Canis lupus familiaris: one gene and its partner. The protein of the gene in region 1 interacts with the protein of each later gene in a pairwise test. Links are inferred from orthologs where the notes say so. Each region holds a gene or a part of one and is shown on either strand. Other genes may lie near its edges. The genes, in order: NFYA and GTF2A1.

Region 1 (4,240 bases):
GGAGTAATATCAAGAAAGTTTTAGGATAGAGGAAGAGATTAAAAACCTTTACAAGAATTCAAGTTTGGTGTGGTTAAGACCCAAACTAGAGGCCATTTTTGTAGAGGAATACCTTAATCTGAAGAGTTACAAGTACTCAGTGGTTAGGAAACCAACCCCCCCCCCCTCCCCCCGCCCCGCCTCAATATGTATATCCTGGTCTAATATTTAAAATATAACAGGAGGCCATGATGCTGCTCTACACAAGGCACACTAATTGAGCTGTTTTTCAAAACTCACGTTGGTTTAACAGTTCCTGCACCCCTCCAAATTTCTTCTTGAAGAGGACAGCTATCCCAGCACCCATTCGACAATCCTCACTGATACAGTGGGCTAAAGAGTCTGTTTTGGGGCATGCAAAAAGGTCTCCTTTCACATAAGTGATCTAAAATGTGAAAAGGGAAAGAAGAGGTTTTATTTGATACAGAAAAACACTAAGCCTAGTTCTTTCATTTCCCTTGACTGCGTCCCCCACCTCTACCCCTCCTCGATTGAAAACCAGATCCACAGGGTCGCCTGGGTGGCTCGGTGGTTGAGCCTCTCTCTGCCTTTGGCTCAGGGGGTGATCCCAGCATCCTGGGATTGGGTCCCAGCCTTGGGCTCCCAAAGAGCCTGCCTCTCCCCCTGCCTGTGTCTCCGCCCCTCTCGGGGTCTCTCATGATTAAGTAAATAAAATCTTTAAAAGTTACAAATAAATAAAAAAAATAAAAATGAAAACCAGATCTGCAGAACTTAAGGGAGTCAACCACCACAAACTAAAGAATGTGTAAAAGCAAAGTGATGGATGGGGTCTCTGCCCGGACTCTTTCAGCCTTTTTGAAGCAAAACAGCTGGAGAAGGTAGGGAAGAAAATAAAAAAGAGAGAGTGAGAGACAATTCGATTATGGCTTTAATTAAAAAGTGTTTATGCTTTTGACCTCAATTACTCTGAATTTCTGTTCACCAATAAGTTAACAGTCGCTACGCACTCTGCTTCCTTCCGCATCTTCATGAGGGCTGCCGGCCATGATACGGAGTCGCTATTCCCAGAACTTAAGGGGTTTCTCCAGCTGAGAAGGGAAAAGGAAGGAACAATGCTTAGGCGGCCTCGATATACTACAAAGCGCCCTGACCACCCATTTGGCTGGTGATGCCTTCCCGCACCACTTGTCGCTGGGCCTCGGGGACGGGATGCGAAGCTCTGCTGGGGCAAGGGCCGAGCCGGGCGGGGGCGGGGGCGGGGGCAGAGGCGGCCGGGCCCGCTCGCTTTCCGCGCTGTCGTCGGCCGAGAGGCGGGCCCCGCGAGGCGCCGCCTCCCTTGTCCGCTCCCGGGCGCGGCGGGCTTGGGGCAGTCTCCTCTTCTCGGCACGACCCAAGCCTATTTCCCCCGGTGGGTCTGGCCGGGAAGAGAAAGGGAGGGGCTTGGCCACAGTCCCGCTGAGCGTCCGGGCCGGAGGGCGGGGGACGCGGGGGACGCGGGGGACGCGGGGGACGCGGGAAGCGGCCTCTCCGGGAAGGCGCAGGCGAAGGCGGCCAAGCGAGGCCTGCCACCCCGCCTCCCACCCCGAGGGCGGCCAGCGAGGGGTCCCGTGGGCAAGAGCGGGAAGGCCCGCTCGGAGCCTCGACGTACCGGGGTTACCCTCCACCGGGTCAGGAGTCGGCCGTTGCGAGGTCCCGCCCCGCGGGGAAGGGCTCGGGATCCGGCCCTGGTAGGTGGGAAGCCGCGCACGGACCCCCGACGCGGAGCCAATCCCGCCGCAGCCCTATATTGCGCGCACGTAAGATGGCCGCCCGCCGCGCGGGAGCGGGGCGGAAACAAGCCCCTCTAGCTGGCCCGCCGAGCCCGTACTCTTTGGTAATGGCCGCCGAACTTCCGGCGGTAAGATCCGTGGAATGTCCCGCCGCCGCCCGGGCATGCGTAACGAGACAGCCCACCGCGAGTGGGGGAAGAACGGCGCTTGCGCATTAGCCCCCGGGGGGGGGGTGTCTCCAGCGACCGCAGCGAAAGGGGTGGGCAGTTGGCAAAGGCGCTAGTTAGCGCCTGCGTAGTGCTATGTCGAGGGCGGCGTTTGAGTTCAAGGATCTGGCGCCTCTCGAAGGCGCCTGCGTGTTCCTCCAGCCCGCGGCGGTGTCAAATCAGAGAAGTGGGCGTGGCTCCGCGGCACGCCTGCGCGATGCTCCTCCAACGGGGGGTGGGGCGAGCCCGCTGCTGGGGTTAGGGGGCGTGGTCTCCGAGGCGCCTGCGCGGAGGCGGTTGGAGGGAGGCCCGATTCCCCTTTGTTCGGGTTCGCCATTTTGCGAGGCAGCGGCAGTGGCGGCGGCAGCGGCGGCTGGAGCCTCTGATTGGGTTTCGGGGTCCGGTACTGGAGCCAATCAGCGCGGGCAGCGAACCGGGGGAGCGAGGCACGGTGAGTGTGAGGAGCCAATATCCAGCGGCCCAGAGCCGGCCCCAGCGCCCCGATTGGCGGGTCTCGCTGACCACTCAGGAGAGGCCCAGGCGCCCGTCGAGCCCCGGGAGTCTCGCTGAGCCCAGCCGAGCGGGGCGGCCGGCGGCCCGGGCCCGGGGCCTGGGAGTGCCCCGGGCCACTCCCGGCCGGGGCCTGCAGGGGGCCGCCCCGCGCGGGGACGGCGCCCTCGGAGCGAGCAGCTCGGGGTCCAGACCCTTGCAGGGGGCCTGTGCCGTTGGGGATGCGCCCGCTTTCTTGGGCTCTTCAGGCCCAGTTGTCAGGCCCCAGGCTCGGGGTTCGTGGGCCCGCTTGCCACCAGCGCCCCTCCGCCCAGGTCCACGCACGCCCGGGGCCTTGGTCTCCTCCAGATCGCCCCGGCCTCACACTCAAGTCCGCCCTGGCCCCCTCCGTGCTCTGGCCCTCGGGGCGGGCGACCTTCCGGGGGCCCCGCCATCCCTGGCTCCCCGGGAGCCGGGTCTGCTGGCCTGCCCCCCCCCCCCGCCCCCGCCCCCACCCCGGCCCCGGGTCGCGAGTGAGGCCCCGGGGAAGGTGCGCGCCGCGGCCACGGGGCCCTGACCGCGGCGGGGAGAGGGAGCGGGCCCGCCGCGCCGGCCCCGGGGTCGCGGGAGGGGGTCGGTTGGCGCGCCCACTCCCCGGCCCCGCCGCGCCCCTCCTCTCCGCACGCTCGGCCCGGGGCTCCGGCCCGGCGCCGTTACCACCCCCTTTTGGCTCGTCATTTCCTCTTCTCCCCGCCCCGCTCGCCCGGGAAAGAACCGCACACCTCCGTCTTGGAGTCCGACCAAGCGGTCTCCCTTTCTTGTCCCGGCCGTGCAGCCGGCCAGTCCACTGGGTGCCTGCAACCTCTCACTCTTAGAAGATTGCCAGCCCTGCGCGTTCCTTTTCCCGGAGGCTGCACGCACAACTTGTTTCTCGTATTACTAGTTTTCTCCTTCGCTCCTCTGGCGGACTCTCCCTCCTTTGGGAATGCAGATTTCTTTCTTTCTTTTTTTTCCCCTTTCACTTTGCACGTGTCAGGTTTGACCCATTAGTGCAGTCCACAGCCGTCTCTTGATTTATTATTTTTTTTCTAGCATACTTTGTAACTCCCTGTTAATGTTTTCCAAGTAGGTATTTATAGAGCGTTAACAATATTGTGGGGTTTTCTGTTAGGGTGAGACGAAATCTCCATTGACAGCCATGTCTCTAGCAGTTAGTATGTACCAAGCATCAATCTATATGCTGGGGAGGAAGCAGATAGAGGTCAGTAAGAACCTTGCCTGCCTGGTGGATTAACAAGTGGACAGCTAATTAATATTTAACAGTTAGTGCTATAATGAGGCCAAGTTCAGTTCTGTGAAGTACTGGTGTGTGAGCTCCTAACAGCCTTGGTGGAAGATTCGATGTTGCCACACTTTCCATTGGCCTTGAAGGACAGACAATAGGATTTTTTCCGACAGGAAAGAATGGAAGAGCATTAGGCACAGAGAGAAGAAGAGGATGTCCAGAGATACCAAATTATGCTGTGTTTAAGGGGGAAGAATTTAGGCTGGAAAGACTAATTGGTAAAAGCACCTGTATATCTTGATTAGGGATTTTCAGAAGCAGTTATCTTTTGGAGGTTCAGATGGAAGTAATCTCAAAGTGTATTTTTTTCCAGGATTGGAAAAAAAAAGTTTCTGACCTGTGGGCTTCTGCTCCACAACAGCAGCTGACTTTGGGGGAAGAAAGAAAGATTTTTCTCCTAGGACTTTAAAAGCTGTTAGTCCTGTGAAGCA
Region 2 (4,496 bases), on another chromosome or scaffold:
TTATTTTTTCAGCAAACTGGTGTTTGGTGTTTTCTGAAGTCAATCACTCCTAAAAATCTTCAGCTTGGAGACCCAGACATTTACAGCTATAAAATTGCGTTCTTCTGGCACTCCCTATTTAATGAATTTATCTTGTTTTAGGATTCTGCTTATGTGCCTTAGTTAACCCACAACCTGACCATTTACCGGATTCATAAAAGCACTATAAAGGGAAATGTGTATTCTTCGCAAAGTACACATACAGAGAATAATTTAGTTGAATTGTTCCTAAGTTGATATACCCCCCAAAACTGATTTTTTTAAATACCTATTTTTTTTTAAGATTTTATCTAATTATTCATGACAGACACACAGAGAGAGAGAGAGAGAGGCAGAGACACAGGCAGAGAGAGAGAAGCAGGCTCCATGCAGGGAGCCCCACGGGGGACTCGATCCCGGGACTCCAGAATCATGCCCCAGGCCAAAGGCAGACACTTAACCACTGAGCCACCCAGGGATCCCCAAAAACTGATGTTTTTAAAAGCATGGGGGTATGCGGGTACTATCTGAAATAAGCAACTTCCAAGCTATTATTTAAAATGCTAAACCTTATTTGAATCAAAATGTTTGCCTTTTACAAAATACAAAGTAATTTAGGTTTTTCTTGGCTTTCAAAACACAGGTATTCCAAACTTAAAAAAAGGTAAATTAAAGAGCCACTAATCTCATGATTAATTAAGAGGTTCCTTTCCAAAGTGTCAGTCCCCCCACACCCCACCCCGGGGAGGCAGAATACTGGAAAAATAAACCAAATTAACTTCTATCTTGAACGTTAATATCCAATGAAATCAAAAGACAACGTCAACTTCGAATTTTAATATTTTAAAAATCCAGTTTGCACTAAGCCTCCCCTCTCATTACTCACAATTTCCCTACATACAATAGATGCACTGTGGACATAAGGTCCACACGTTGAAGCTTTAGGCACTTTATCTTCAAAAAAGCTTTGTGTCTAACATTACAGAAAAACAATGGCATATAGGAGCTTTATTTCTAACACATTTTCTGAATACTCGATGGACGAAACACTATCAGAGTCATCAAGTACCCTGCAGCTCAGAGTTAATGTAGGAAGCGGTGTTTCTGTTGTCGTTTTCTTTAAATGCCCAACAATAACGCATTTCCCAATACAAAAATGACCACAGACCTCTGAGCTACAATCCTCTTTAAAAGCAAAGATAAAAATATAAGAAGGGACAGCAATTCTGCGTTCCCCCCCCCCCCGCCCCCTCAACAAAGGCAGGAAACCCTAGCTGCTGCGTCAAAACAAACAAACAAAAAAACTTGGGGACCCCCCCCCCCCTCCGAAAGCGGCCCCGTCGGGCGCGAAATCCCAGTGGCAGCTGAAGGACCTAGATATAAACCGGGCGCTCGGCTCGCTCCTGCCTCTCGCCTCGGGAGCACGCACCTCCCAGCCCCGCTCTCAGCAGCTCTCACTATTTAAAGCCGGATCTAGTGTTTAAATGGAGAGGCGGTGACGTAGGCCTGAAAAGCACCTTCCCATCCTGGCAGAGTCTATATTAGAGAGCGGCAATGGCTCTATATAAACAGGGCAGCCAAAGGGAGGAGGACCACAAGGCTCAGGGACTCAAAAGCAGGGTAAGCGGCCGCAGCCATGATGGATCGACCCGAGTCGCCAACGGTACGGAGTCGGGCGGCCGCGGGCTCGTCTGCGGCGTTTGGGACCGGGAAAAAAAACAAAACAAAAAAACAACAAAAAAACAAAAACAAAAACGTGTTTTTACGGTCAGAATAAAAATAAGAGTGGGGTGGACTAGTGATCGCATTGGCGTTGGTGACGGACAAGGTTGTTTTTATGTGACTGCTTTTTGCAAACCTACGTGATCGCAAGTAACCAAAAAGGGACAAACGGGGGGGGGGCGGGGGGGAGACGTAGGCAAATTTCAAGGCGAAAGCAGGGGCGCTGGGACCACTGTAGGCTTTTTTGTTTGTTTGTTTGTTTGTTTGTTTGCTTTGGTGCTTTTGCTAGTGGAAGATACGATGGGGGGGGGGGGTGTTGCTTCCCCTTCGCCATTTTACCGATTCGGAAGGAACCGAGATAAGTGCTTTTCAACCTTCGTCCTTTTCTTTCCTTTTTCCTTTTTTTTTTTTTTTTTAAGAAATATAAAATGGCCTCAGTGAAGGCTCCCCCTAATAAGCACAACCGCCAGAAACATCCCAAGTAACCCCCAAAGTAGCCGTTCGCCTTCCACTGCACTGAAGTGGGCCACACGGCGGGTCCTGGGGACTCGCCCGATTCCCCAGACGCGGGTTTTGTCTGTGGAGGCTGCTCGGGGCGCCCGTGTCGAGCCGGCGCGGCCGGGCCCCCGGGGGGGGCGCAGGGGGGGAAGCGGAGGCTTCACGCCCGCCCGCCCGCCCTCCCGGCGGCCGGGGTCTGCGGCCGGAGCCGCGCGCTCGCCCCGGCCCAACGGCCTGCGCGGCCCCGACCGCCCCGCGGCGGCCCCAGGCCCCGCCGGCGCCCCCGCCCTCCTCCCGCCGCCGCCGCCGCCGCCGCCGCCGCCGCCAGCCCGAGGCGCCCTCCCCCCGCCCCCCCCGCGCCCGCCGCCCCGGCCCGCTCCGCCCGAGGCGGGAAGCGGCGGCGGCGGCGGCGGCGGCGGCCGCGCGGGCGGCTGAGGAGAGTAGAGGCCGGGAGTCGCCGCCGTCCCCGCCCCCGCCCGGTCCGGCCGTTGCTGCCGCCCGGACGAAGCCCCCGCCGGCCACCAAACCACGTCCTTACCACGGTGTTTGTATTTGCCGAGTTCGCCATTTCCACACACAACACAAACAAGAGGGGGGGCAACCCCGAGAAAACAAGATTAAAAACAAAAAACCAAAAAGAAAAAAAAGAAAACCAAAACACCCGGAGGGTGGCCCAAGCCACCGCAAGATTGGGGGTAAAAATTTCAAACAAAATCGAATCCTGAAAGAGTAGAAGGGGAGCGGTGAGAGGAGGAGGAGGAGGAAGAGGAGGAGGGGGGCAGTCCTCCCCGAGCTAAAAACCTCGAGAATCGCCCTTAAAAAAAAAAAAAAAAAAAAAAAAAAAAAAAAAAAAAAGCCACGACCCTTCTGGGGTCCGGGGGGGCGTTGCCCGCTCCCCACCCCGCGCCAAGGAGGGAAACCACCACCGGTCGCCGCTCCCCGCGCCGCCGCTGCCGCCACCGGCTGCAGCTCCAGCCGTCCGGTCCGCCCGCTTCTCCCCTTTATATAGTGAGCCAACGAGCTGCGCGAGCCGCCGCCGCCGCCGCTGCCGCCGAGAGACAGGGCGGAGGGGGAGGGAGGGGCGGAAAGGGCGGGGGCAGAGGTGGGCGGGGCTGAGCGCGAGACACCGCGAGAGCCGCGTGCGCAGGCGCGCCGGGGCGGAGGCCGCCGTGGGCCGCGTCGTCACGCGCAGCGGAGGGTGCTGGGCTGGCGGAGCGCGGGGACTGGGGTAGTCGAGTCGTCCGGCCGGCTCCCCAAGTCTCGCGTGATCACCTGGTTGCCACCCAGGCGGAAGTGCCCCACAGCTGTTTTAGGCTGAGGGGCTTGCAAAGTATCGCTGGACATAGCATGAGTGGTGTTGACCCTCAAGTCCAAAGCTACCTGGCAGCCAACTCTTGTCAGGTGTTTCTGCGTCTCCCTGCGCTTGGAGAAGCGAGGAAATACAGAAGGGGCGCTGGCGGCTGCCTCGTTAGCAATGGCTGCGGAGGCGGACCGGTCACGTGGCCCCGCTTCCGGCCCCCGGAGCGCTCGGACTCCGGGCAGAGTTTAAATGCGGAGTCATCTCGGGGCGTGAGCTCGTCGTGGACTCGGCGCTCAGAGGCGTCGGTTCCTCTCGCGTCGCGAAGGCCGGGCCCTTCGCCGGCAAGATCGTGTACGTGTTCCTAAAGGGGGAGAGCTGCTTTGAGCCCGCTGCTAACACATTTCAGAATTAATGACCCCTGAACCGGCTGAGTCGTTTCCACCGGTACAGCTAAAAGGCCCTGGGCTTAAGTTTCCCCGAGGTTCGGCCCCTTACTAGCGTGCTAGTACTTCCGTGGTGGAAATGCCGAAAGGAAAAAAAGAAAAAAAAAAAAAAAACCGACCTGCATATCACCGGATTATGACAGCACGATAACGTCCCCCCTCGATTTTTAAAAACTGCCGAAATCCTGTGACCGCATGGCCCGCGCCTGGGACTGACAGGAAATACCTCGGTGGGGCCGCCCCGTCTCGCGGCCTCTCGCCGCCGGAGCGAGCAGAGGAAGCCCACGTGTCGGAGTGTGAACCAGGAGGCGCCGGACCTGCGCTGCTCCCGACTCCCGCCTTCGGGGCAGCGTGTCACGCAGAACGGGGAGTGCTCCGCTTCGAAGGCAGAGCTCGCCGCACCTAATTCTGCCCCTAGGAACTTGGAGAGACGTGGACTGTAGTCCGGGCAAGTGAAGGAGTGGATCCTCCTCGCAAAGCAAAACGAAATGTCAAAGTTCGTATGCCACCGAAAG

The links.
Region 2: the proteins of NFYA (region 1) and GTF2A1 interact in binary tests that used the Homo sapiens proteins (3 or more experiments, as listed by UniProt). The two-hybrid records come from large-scale screens. The link is inferred for Canis lupus familiaris from reciprocal best matches to the Homo sapiens genes NFYA and GTF2A1.

Annotation. Positions count from the first base shown.
Region 1 is NC_049233.1:10,014,193-10,018,432, forward strand, and holds the start of NFYA (nuclear transcription factor Y subunit alpha), read left to right. Parts: upstream 1-1,327; 5' UTR 1,328-1,408; intron 1,409-1,648; exon of another isoform or gene 1,649-2,124; intron 2,125-2,282; exon of another isoform or gene 2,283-2,426; intron 2,427-2,774; exon of another isoform or gene 2,775-2,799; intron 2,800-4,240. Other genes in the region: ADP-ribose glycohydrolase OARD1, read right to left, coding at 280-424, 1,008-1,046. UniProt on the Homo sapiens protein: Component of the sequence-specific heterotrimeric transcription factor (NF-Y) which specifically recognizes a 5'-CCAAT-3' box motif found in the promoters of its target genes.
Region 2 is NC_049229.1:53,872,036-53,876,531, forward strand, and holds the start of GTF2A1 (transcription initiation factor IIA subunit 1), read right to left. Parts: upstream 3,013-4,496; 5' UTR 2,807-3,012; coding exon 2,777-2,806; intron 1,467-2,776; exon of another isoform or gene 1,448-1,466; intron 1-1,447. UniProt on the Homo sapiens protein: TFIIA is a component of the transcription machinery of RNA polymerase II and plays an important role in transcriptional activation. TFIIA in a complex with TBP mediates transcriptional activity.